Ovis aries: one gene and its partners. The protein of the gene in region 3 interacts with the protein of the main gene of each other region in a pairwise test. Links are inferred from orthologs where the notes say so. Each region holds a gene or a part of one and is shown on either strand. Other genes may lie near its edges.

Region 1 (3,679 bases), on a different chromosome or scaffold from region 3:
ATCCATTTGCCTAATGAAACTTTTCCTTTTAAACAATATTTAAAAAGTGAATAGATTCGGTGAAAAATGAAAAAAACAAGCTAACTAATGCACGTTCAGTAAAAATCATAAGATACAGAACATTAATGAAATTGGCTAAGAATCCTTGCATGGGTACTCTCATAAAGCACTTCCATATTATTGCTTAATTTACACACACCATCACCAACAGTCCTGATTCCAAAGTCAAATGGAACCGACTTGAAACGCTGGTATAGTACAGCATGATGGTTAAAAACTTAGGATCTAGTGCCAGTGGATTTGAATTCAAATCTTTCTATGCTTCTTACTAGCTGCTTGACTGATGGCAAGTTCCTTAATTTCACAGGTTCATATCTGTAAAATGGGGATGGTGATTTGCCCAATAGAGCTCAGAAGACTAAATGAGATAAAATTCTTTGCAGCTTTAGAATGAGCAGTAAGCACTTACAACAGCTGTCACTGCTGTTTATCACAGAATAAAGCACAGATTCCCAGGTGGCTCAGTGGTAAAGCATCGGCCTGTCAACGCAGGAGACGCGGGCCCGAACCATGGGTCACGCAGATCCCCTGAAGGAAATGGCAACCCACTCCAGTATTCTTGCCTGGGAAATCCCATGGATAGAGGAGCCTGGCGGAATACAGTCCATGGGTCGCAAAGAGTGGAACATGATTTGGCGACGAAACAAAAAGTTAATGCAAGTTCTTTCCCACGGTTACATAGGTGATACGCAGGAGGCCTGAAAATTCAACCCTCGTTTTCTGTCTCTTGCACTTTTATTTCACACCCACCACACTATTTCATTTTTCCCACTCTTTAGTCACGAACTGGGACCTTGCTTTATTCCCTGATAACCCACATATACCTTCATTTCACAAACATTTACACTCATAGTACTTGCATAGCGTAGGATGTCTGACAAGCAAAACGCCTACAGATGAGGACTGTTCTGTAGGTTAACAGGTGAAAGGTAACGCAATCCCAAAGAAAGGCAATGCCAAAGAATGCTCCAACTACCGCACAATTGCACTGATCTCACATGCTAGTAAAATAACGCTCAAAATTCTCCAAGCCAGGCTTCAGCAATACGTGAACCATGAACTCCCTGATGTTCAAGCTGGTTTTAGAAAAGGCAGAGGAACCAGAGATCAAATTGCCAACATCCACTGGATCATGGAAAAAGCAAGAGAGTTTCAGAAAAACATCAATTTCTGCTTTATTGACTATGCCAAAGCCTTTGACTGTGTGGATCACAATCAACTGTGGAAAATTCTGAAAGAGATGGGAATACCAGACCACCTGACCTGCCTGTTGAGAAATCTGTATGCAGGTCAGGAAGCAACGGTTAGAACTGGACATGGAACAACAGACTGGTTCCAAATAGGAAAAGGAGTACGTCAAGGCTGTATATTGTCACCCTGCTTATTTAACTTCTATGCAGAGTACATCATGAGAAACGCTGGACTGGAAGAAACACAAGCTGGAATCAAGATTGCCAGGAGAAATATCAATCACCTCAGATATGCAGATGACACCACCCTTATGGCAGAAAGTGAAGAGGAACTAAAAAGCCTCTTGATGAAAGTGAAAGAGGAGAGTGAAAAAGTTGGCCTAAAGCTCAACATTCAGAAAATGAAGATCATGGCATCCAGTCCCATCACTTCATGGCAAATAGATGGGGAAACAGTGGCAACAGTGTCAGACTTTATTTTTGGGGGCTCCAAAATCACTGCAGATGGTGACTGCAGCCATGAAATTACAAGACACTTACTCCTTGGAAGAAAAGTTATGACCCACCTAGACAGCATATTCAAAAGCAGAGACATTACTTTGCCAACTAAGGTCCGTCTAGTCAAGGCTATGGTTTTTCCAGTGGTCATGTATGGATGTGAGAGTTGGACTGTGAAGAAGGCTGAGAGCCGAAGAATTGATGCTTTTGAACTGTGGTGTTGGAGAAGACACTTGAGAGTCCCTTGGACTGCAAGGAGATCCAACCAGTCCATTCTGAAGGAGATCAGCCCTGGGATTTCTTTGGAAGGAATGGTGCTAAAGCTGAAACTCCAGTACTTTGGCCACCTCATGAGACGAGTTGACTCACTGGAAAAGACTCTGATGCTGGGAGGGATAGGGGGCAGGAGGAGAAGGGGACGACCGAGAATGAGATGGCTGGATGGCATCAAGGACTCGATGGACGTGAGTCTGAGTGAACTCTGGGAGATGGTGATGAACAGGGAGGCCTGGCGTGCTGCGATTCATGGAGTCGCAAAGAGTCGGACACGACTGAGCGACTGAACTGAACTGAACGCCTCTCAGAGGTTTGAGACCCCTAAACTGAATCTTGGTGGATTGGTGACTCGAAGACGATGAAGAGAAGGAAGTGACAGGGATCAAACTGAGCAGGGGCGCAGGGAGTCGCCTTCCGGATTCAAAAGGGGAGCCTCTGGGAGGTCCCTGAGAACGCACGGCGCGCGGTAATCGCCTCGCATACGCGAAGGTTTTCCGTAACTTCACACGCGCGAGGGTGCCGGCTCTCCAGACGCAGCGACGTCCGCCCACGGGCTCCGCCCGAAGCCCCAGGAAGCGGCCACGCCATGCCCGGCCCCAAAGTGTCCCGCCTAAGACAAGCTCTAAGTCCAGGGGCCTCGCCAGACCCGAGCGTCAGTTTCCAGGCCTTCCTCGGCGACCCACCACGCACCCTCGGCTGCATATATTCCGGCCCCAGCGCAGCGGACCGCTTATTCTCGGCTCCCGCAGGGGAAGGTCTGCCTAAGCCGCAACCCGCAGCCAGAAGAGAGGAGAGAGCGAAGAAAAAAACCCCGCCAACTCACCGAACAGGTCCTCTACGTCCCGTAACAACCACAAGCCAGAACCCGGAAGCGGAACCAGCCACCGGAAATGACGCTACCACGCACCTCAATCGAAAGCCGATCAGTCAAGAAGCCGAGCCCAGAGTGGATCGATGTCCGTCGGTCTAGACCACAGTAAGTAATCGCTCTGAGCATGCGCACACCTGGTGGATGGGGAGAACAGGTGTGAAGGGGAAACGCGGTAAGGGAAATAGGCCTGGGGGAATTCTGTGGGTTTAACTCGAATTCTGGGGGAGCGCAGTAAGAGTATAAGGACAGACGGTGATCAGTTCCGTCACCATGAGTTAGCGCTGTTTAACCTAGAACATCCTGATAAACACATCTGTGGGCTTCCCTAGTGGTTCAGACGGTAAAGAATCAGCCTGCAATGCGGGAAACCTGGGTTCGATCCCTGGGTTGGGAAGATTCCCTGGAGGAGAGGGCATGACAACCCACCCCGGTATTCTTGCCTGTGAAATCCCGTGGACAGAGGAGCATGGTGGCCTGCACTCCATGGGATGGTCCAGTTGGACACGACTAGACAGGACAAACACATCAGTAAGTTGAAAGCACTGTAAGATGCAACTGAGAACACATGTAATAACACCTAACTTACCCAGCATCACACATTTAATCCAGACCTATCACAAAGGTGCTCAGAACACTCACAGTAGCCTTTTTGTTGTTAAGCCACTCAGTCGTGTCCGACTCTTTGCAGCCCCATGGACTGCAGCACACCAGCCTTCCCTGTCCTGCAGCATCTCCTGGAGCTTGCTCAAACTCATGTCCATTGAGTTGGTGATGCCATCCAACC
Region 2 (3,752 bases), on a different chromosome or scaffold from region 3:
AGACTGAGGACTGGGGACTTTCCTGGTGGTCCAGTAGTTAAGAATCCACATTCCAACACACAGGAGGAGAGCTTGATTTCTGCTTAGGAAACTAAGATTCCCATATGCCACGGGGCAACTAGAGAGCCTGTGCTTGGCAATTATTCAGCCAAAAAAAAAACCACCAAGGATTATTTGGTCTAATAAATTCTGGAATTCATCCTCCAGTTAAACATGGCATTCATGTTGAGACTTGAGAGAAAACAGCAAAGTTCTGTAAAACAATTATCCTTCAACAAATTAAACAAACAAACATGGCAAACTGATGGAAGGTAGGAAGGAAATGAAAGAGTGGGTGGGAGGGAGGAAGAAAGAGGGGAGGGAAGCAGGAAGGGAGGGGAGAGAAAGAGGACTCCCAGTGGCAAAAATAACTAAAAAATAGATGACAGTGGCTAAAGACGACAACAAATTTTTGGAAGAGAGAAAGTAGGAAGCACTCAAGAGAGCTGAATACCAAGTGCTGTCAGAGGGGACTCCCCTGAGAAGCAAAACCACACTGAAGAAGTCCGTAAAAGGCCCAGGAGTTGTTCACTTAAGCACCACAGAACACAAAAGTGAACACATGGGGACTGAGTGAACACCTGTGCAAGGGCCCTAAGTGTGCATGCGTGCTAAGTCACTTCAGTCATGTCCAACTCTTTGTGACCCTACGGACTGTGGCCTGCCAGGCTCCTTTGTCCATGGGATGCTCCAGGCAAGAATACTAGAGTGGGTTGCCATTCACTCCAGGGGATCTTCCCAACTCAGGGTTCAAAGCTGCATCTCTCATGTCTCCTGCATTGGCAGGCAGATTCTTTACCACTAGTGCCACCTGGGAAGCCCAGTACCCTTCGATGGCCTGCAAGTTTCCCCCACCCAAACACAATGCTTTGGAAGTGTTCTTTCTCTTTCCTTCCTTCCTTCTTCTCTCATTGAGTAGTCTATCAGATAGAAGCAGAAATAAACGTGTTCAGTTTACCATGTTTAACTGAAAGATAACTCCAAAATCACCTTTATTAGAGCAAATAATCCTCTTTCCCGTTATCATTACCACTTTGTTCCCACCCAATGTCCTTTAAGTCTATCAGCTAGCTCACAGGGCCAGCCTCGCACACAGAACTTTTAATGACTTATTCTTAAACATTCAGACACCAAATAAAAGCCTCAACTGTGAAAGAGACCAAAACAAATAAATAGGAAAGGAATCTGGAAGAAACAGAGACAGTGCAAGAGACAGAGGGAAACTTCAAAAACACAGTAATTAATACCCACAAGGGAAGTTCATACAGACAGGAAACAGGATATAACTAAAAAGGAACATGTGGGACTTCCCTGGTGGTCCAGTGGGTAAGACTGTGAACTCCCAATGCAGGGGCCTGGGTTCCATCCCTGTTCAGGGATAGAACTAGATCTTGCTTGCAGGTTGCAACTAAGACCCAGCACAGTCAAAATAAATTTAAAAAATAAAAATTTTAAGAAAAAGTTCTTAAGACTGCGACTGCCAAAAAATTAAGTTTAAGAACATAAACTCAAGGAAGAAAATATAACAGAAACAAAGAAATGAGGATTTGGAGAGAAAATACACTAAAATTAGAGGATCCGTTCATAAAGTCCAAATGTAACACACAATAGGAGTTTCAGAAAAAGAAAACAAGAGAAAAAGCAAGGCTTTGAATATCCAGACTAGAGTGGGAAAGGACTGAAGCCATAGGGCTGAACCATCGTTTACAGCTGCTTATGCTGACATGCGTGAAGGTTCCTTTGACCACCCTTTCTACCTGCCACCATCTAATAGCCACAAAGTTCACTCACCAATTTTCTCCCAAAGCTTGTGCCTACCTGGGGAAAAGGTTTTCGGTAGAAGTGCTTAAGCTGTTCGTAGGGCAGAGGTAGTTGCTGGCGTTGGTACATGATATGTTTTAGAAGTTCACAAGTAAAGCGACAGCAGCCTTCCTGGCTCACAGGCCCAGGAAACACCACTGGCACCATGCAGTCTCTGGGACGAAAGGGCTCCAAAGGGTTGGAAGGTTCCTGGGTGGAGGTGGTCTCAAGTAGTTCTATCTGGGGGTCCTGGGTTTCCTCCGACTTCTCACACCACTCCAAATCTACTAGGTGCACAGAGGGACAAGAGAGAAAAACGAAAAACTTAAAAGATCTATGGACATACCACCCTGAAGCCCGATCTCCTCTGTTCTCCAAAGCTAAACAGGGTCCGGCCTGATTAGAACTTGGATGAGAAAAAGTGAAGAGGCCAGAGTCAGTCTTTCCATCCCTTGTGGGGACATCAGCCACCACAGCTGAGGCCACACGCCTACACAGGCGGATTCCCTCCGCAAACTCCCCTCTGGGAGGCCGCTCGCAGGTTCCAGATCCCAGTTGTCTAAGAGACTGCAGGATTTGGGGGGGCCAGGTGGCGGGAATTTCTGAGACAGAGACTGGAGATCTGCTCAGAAAGCAGAGGCCCTGATATGGGAAAATGAGTTGAGAAAAAGCGGTGTCAAGCAGAGCCCAGAACACGCCGCGAAAAGGAGAGTGAACCAATGGAATTCAGGGCCGCGGGGGCGATGGAGTCAAAGGGGCCAAGTCAGAGCTGGGAGGGACGACGGGAAATGGGGACAAGGAACACGGGCTAGTGAAACGACTACGGGCTAAATGACTGGAGGGAGCCGTGGCAGGGAGGAAACAAACTCCTCGAGCTCCGGACTCCATATCTTACCAGGGACTGCGGCCGGGGACTGCACTTCCGGCTCCGGGGCCGCCATCACTACCTCCTCCCCGTTCTCCATTCGGTTTGAATAGGCGCCCCGCGCTGCTTCATGGGAAGCCCGCGCCTCCACTTCCTGTTCTGCTGGCCCGGAAGTGGGAGGGGCGCCGTGTCTGTGCGGCAGAGGCTTCGCTGGGTGAGGAATGGAGTGCACTGTTAAGGAGCGCAGCCCTCCTTAATACCCTTCGGCGAGTCCGTCGAGCCCTCCTCCCACAGAGAAACCGCGGGTTCTCAACTACTTGGCGCTGCCTTCCGAGGACACCCACTCGCTCGCATCCATTCTTTCCTGCGTCCTCTATTCGCTACGCACCTACTTCGTGTCAGGCCCTGTCCTAGGTGCTGGAGTCTGCGGCGAAGAAGCCAGCGACTGGAGGGGTCCTCAAGGGGTTCAGTGCCTGTAGATTCAAGGCAGTGTGATGAATTATACAGTAAGGTGTGGAAGGGCAGTGGACGCGGAGAACAGGAGCGCATAACCTAGAGGAAGTGGGAGTGAGGCGTGGTCCAAGAGGAAATTGATCTTTAAGATGAGTAAAGGTAAAGAGGAGGGTCTGGTGGTCCTGGAGACTGTTAAAAACAAACAAGGCCCAAATGCATTCACTTCTGCTAAATCCCACCAAGACTCATTTCCTAATCTAGTAGGAGTTTCAGCTTCTCCTGGAGTGGAATTTTAAACTAACCAGTCTGGCATTTCAGCTCTAGTGAGGTAATCTGCAAGATAAGTCCCCCAACATTCCCCCTAAATGGAATTCCCCTTTCTTTTGCTAATAACCTCATTATCCTGCCTCCATTTCTATAAAAGTCTTGCATCTTGTACAGCACCTCAGAGTGCCTTTGTATTTACTCGATGAGATACTTCCTGATTCATGAATTGTTAAATAAAGCCAATTAGATCTTCAAATCTTCAGTTAAATTTTGTTTTTAACAAGACCTTGAGATACAAGAGCATTCTCAATTCAAGAAATAAAAAGAG
Region 3 (2,953 bases):
GTAACTCTGTTCCTTGTCCTATTATAATTTTTCTATTTCCCTATTGTTTCCTCTGTACCTAGATACTGTTAAATATGTTGATTTTCCTTTCTGTTTCGTAACAGTTGGAAACACAGGCTTGAAGCCCTACTAAAGTATACAGATAATGAAACAAAGAGGATGCCCTTTTATTGCTACTGTAACTCTGTTGATGTCGTAAACTCTCAAATGGTGGGATAAGCAAAGAACATTACCACTGAGATCAAACATTTATTCTTCTTTGGGTAGTAAGGGGTAGAAATGAGGAATTAAATGGGTGGACCATAGGCAGGTATACCTTAAGTGAAAATACTGGAAAACTGAAGAGAGCATCCGCTAGAGATAAATTAGGTCTTAGGAATGACGTGGTAGCTGAATAGGATCCTATTACGTTTTCTGAAACTGAGCTTATTTTTAAAGGCATTTCTAGACTCCCCCTCTTCTGAGAGAGAACCTACGCTATAGCAGGTGTGGAAAGCAATCTGCCTATTAATAGGTACTGATCTATTTCAAGTTTTGTTCATTTACTTTACCTCAGTATATCCTGCTGCTTTGAAAATAAAAAGTATACTAAATCAGAAAGTAGATGAATTTGGTTCCATTAATCTTTAAACCAGAGAAATGGCAAAGTGGAGAGAGAAACAATTTTATTTTTGGCCTTTTTATTATTAGTCTAGCAATTTGGGGCTTCCACTCTTTTATTTCTAGATGGTTAACCCACTGATATCTTTATATCTGACCCCAACTGATGAAAACCACTCTAAAACATAAGGACTTCTGTCCTCAAGACAGATATTATAAACAGGGGGTAAAGTCTCTTTTGTGGACACAGACCAACACCAAAAAGATTAAAAAATCAGTTTCTGTCAAACTAGGCAGGTGGGAGTGTCAGGTTTGTAAAACCAAACCTGGAATCTATCTGGACTGTCCTCCCGAACAGCAGACACCATTCCCTCTCCTTTACTCCTCGGTAATCTATAATTCTACTTTTTTAAAAGGACATCTCCCCTAATTCCCTCCAATAAATATCCAGTCTAAATTATTCTCCACCCAATTATTAAACTTTTTCACAAGCTCCGGGGGGAAGATTTACCCTGAGACAAACAGTGAACAGAATGGGGATTTTTGGAAAGGTACAAGGCATAGTGGTCCCAGTATCAGAAATGAAAACATTCTGCTCCCTGTGAGATTCAAAAAGCAGCAGGAAAACACAGAAAATCAAGCTGGTATGAGGAGAGGAAGTATTTGCGATTGACTGGGACATAACTGAGATTCTTAGCTGCATTAATGCATGAACTTGTGTTCAGAGAGAAATGAGGTGCAAGGCAGCCTTATATTTGGGGAAAATGCTGGGACTGGGGTCGTATTAGAAACTTTCCTCCTCCTTTACAGAACTCCATGGCCGTGGGCCAAAGCCTAGCCTCTCTGTAGAATAGTAAGGTGAAAGAACAGGGATATGAAAAGAGCAAGAGCCTTTTCCCAGACCCATAGCAAGCCCCTCAGTGAGATTGGAGGCCTAGATTTCTGCCCGTCTGATCCCCACCTCGTTTTGTACTCCATGGTCATCCTCCCTGGTCTACCCTTACTATATCCCTGTCCCCCACCCTCAAGAACACAAAGTTTTTCAGTTCTTTGCCACAAGGTAAGTTAAAAAGAAAATAATGTGGTTTCTTTGTTTAAACAGTTAACTAAGTTGGTTTGTCTTTTAGTAACAGACCTCCCCTCCCCCAGCCTCCCACTCAGTCCTGGATGATCACATCATCATCATCGTCGTCATCGTCCTCCTCCTCCTCCTCTTCATCTTCTGGCAGTTCCTCCTCTTCCTCTTCCTCCTCTTCATCTAGACAGACCACCACTTCAGCTGGCTCAGGTAATCGAGAGTCAAACCAATCCAGTACCTGCTGGGTGCTAAGCCTTGATGCCTGACTCAGTTGAGGGATATCACTTTCCCGGAGCTGTTGGTGGGTTGCCCAGTACCTCTCCAAGGGTCGTATATCCGGTGGGGGCGGGGGATTTGGCAGAGGTGGTGTCTCAGCCCATTCATTCAAGGAGCGGGTTGAAGGTGGTGGTGTAGGAATTGCTGGATCCTGGAAGCTAGGGGCACCAGGTACTGCATTGTCCCGAAACCATTTTAGTTGCCCATGCTTCAAGGCATAGCGTGTGTCACCAAACCACTGAATAATCTCAGGCCGAGGTAAACCAGTGATCTGCTCTAATTTATGGTAATCCTCACGCCGTGCCCATTGGCACTGTAGAAAAAACGATTTGAGGATAGCCAACTGCTCTTTGGTTTTGCGCTTGGTCTTTCGCTGGCGTTGCATGTCTGGGGAAAGATACTCTGCAGGGCCAACCCTACCTGATGCTGAGTTATGCCTTAGCCCCTGGGGCCAAGCTGGCTCCAGCTGTGGGGGTAGTGCCTGTTCATTGGGTGACAGTGGTTGTGGGGCACAGCCCAGTGGCTGGAGGGACTTAGAGGTGGCAGGAGCTCCATTAGCCAGTCCCTGGAAAGAGGAAGAAGAGGTAGAGGAAGGAGGAGTCACATTAGATGCTGACTCCTTCTTACAACTACTGGCAAGTAATGAGATGGATTCGGGCTTATCCCGAGCATGGGGCTGGTGGACAGCTGTGGCATGGTTCCAGGAGGCAGTACCTAGGCTGTGTGACTGGTCGGGACACCTGCCTGCCTGCTCCTTGGAGAGGCCACTGCATTGATGATCCTGCCAAAATTGCGATTGATGGGGGAATGCTCCACTGCCAGGTACCATCAGGGTCTCCTTTGCTTTCTGGTGATTCAGTGGCTCCTCAGGCTCTACCTTCAATCCTTTCATCTGGGTGGGCTCGCTAAGAGTCAGGGGCACTATTCCAAGACCAACTTGTTCCGGAGGTGGCACAGGAGAAGGAGGCACTTCCTCTGGGGGCCGCCCTGCATGATGAG

The links.
Region 1: the proteins of HOMEZ (region 3) and SNRPB2 interact in binary tests that used the Homo sapiens proteins (3 or more experiments, as listed by UniProt). The two-hybrid records come from large-scale screens. The link is inferred for Ovis aries from reciprocal best matches to the Homo sapiens genes HOMEZ and SNRPB2.
Region 2: the proteins of HOMEZ (region 3) and MAD2L1BP interact in binary tests that used the Homo sapiens proteins (3 or more experiments, as listed by UniProt). The two-hybrid records come from large-scale screens. The link is inferred for Ovis aries from reciprocal best matches to the Homo sapiens genes HOMEZ and MAD2L1BP.

What each region holds. Positions count from the first base shown.
Region 1 is NC_056066.1:10,387,602-10,391,280, reverse strand, and holds the start of SNRPB2 (U2 small nuclear ribonucleoprotein B''), read right to left. Parts: upstream 2,908-3,679; 5' UTR 470-2,907; intron 1-469. UniProt on the Homo sapiens protein: Involved in pre-mRNA splicing as component of the spliceosome. Associated with sn-RNP U2, where it contributes to the binding of stem loop IV of U2 snRNA.
Region 2 is NC_056073.1:17,151,311-17,155,062, reverse strand, and holds the start of MAD2L1BP (MAD2L1-binding protein), read right to left. Parts: upstream 2,816-3,752; 5' UTR 2,805-2,815; coding exon 2,735-2,804; intron 2,127-2,734; coding exon 1,858-2,126; intron 1-1,857. UniProt on the Homo sapiens protein: May function to silence the spindle checkpoint and allow mitosis to proceed through anaphase by binding MAD2L1 after it has become dissociated from the MAD2L1-CDC20 complex.
Region 3 is NC_056060.1:21,435,073-21,438,025, reverse strand, and holds the end of HOMEZ (homeobox and leucine zipper protein Homez), read right to left. Parts: coding exon 1,758-2,953; 3' UTR 649-1,757; downstream 1-648. UniProt on the Homo sapiens protein: May function as a transcriptional regulator.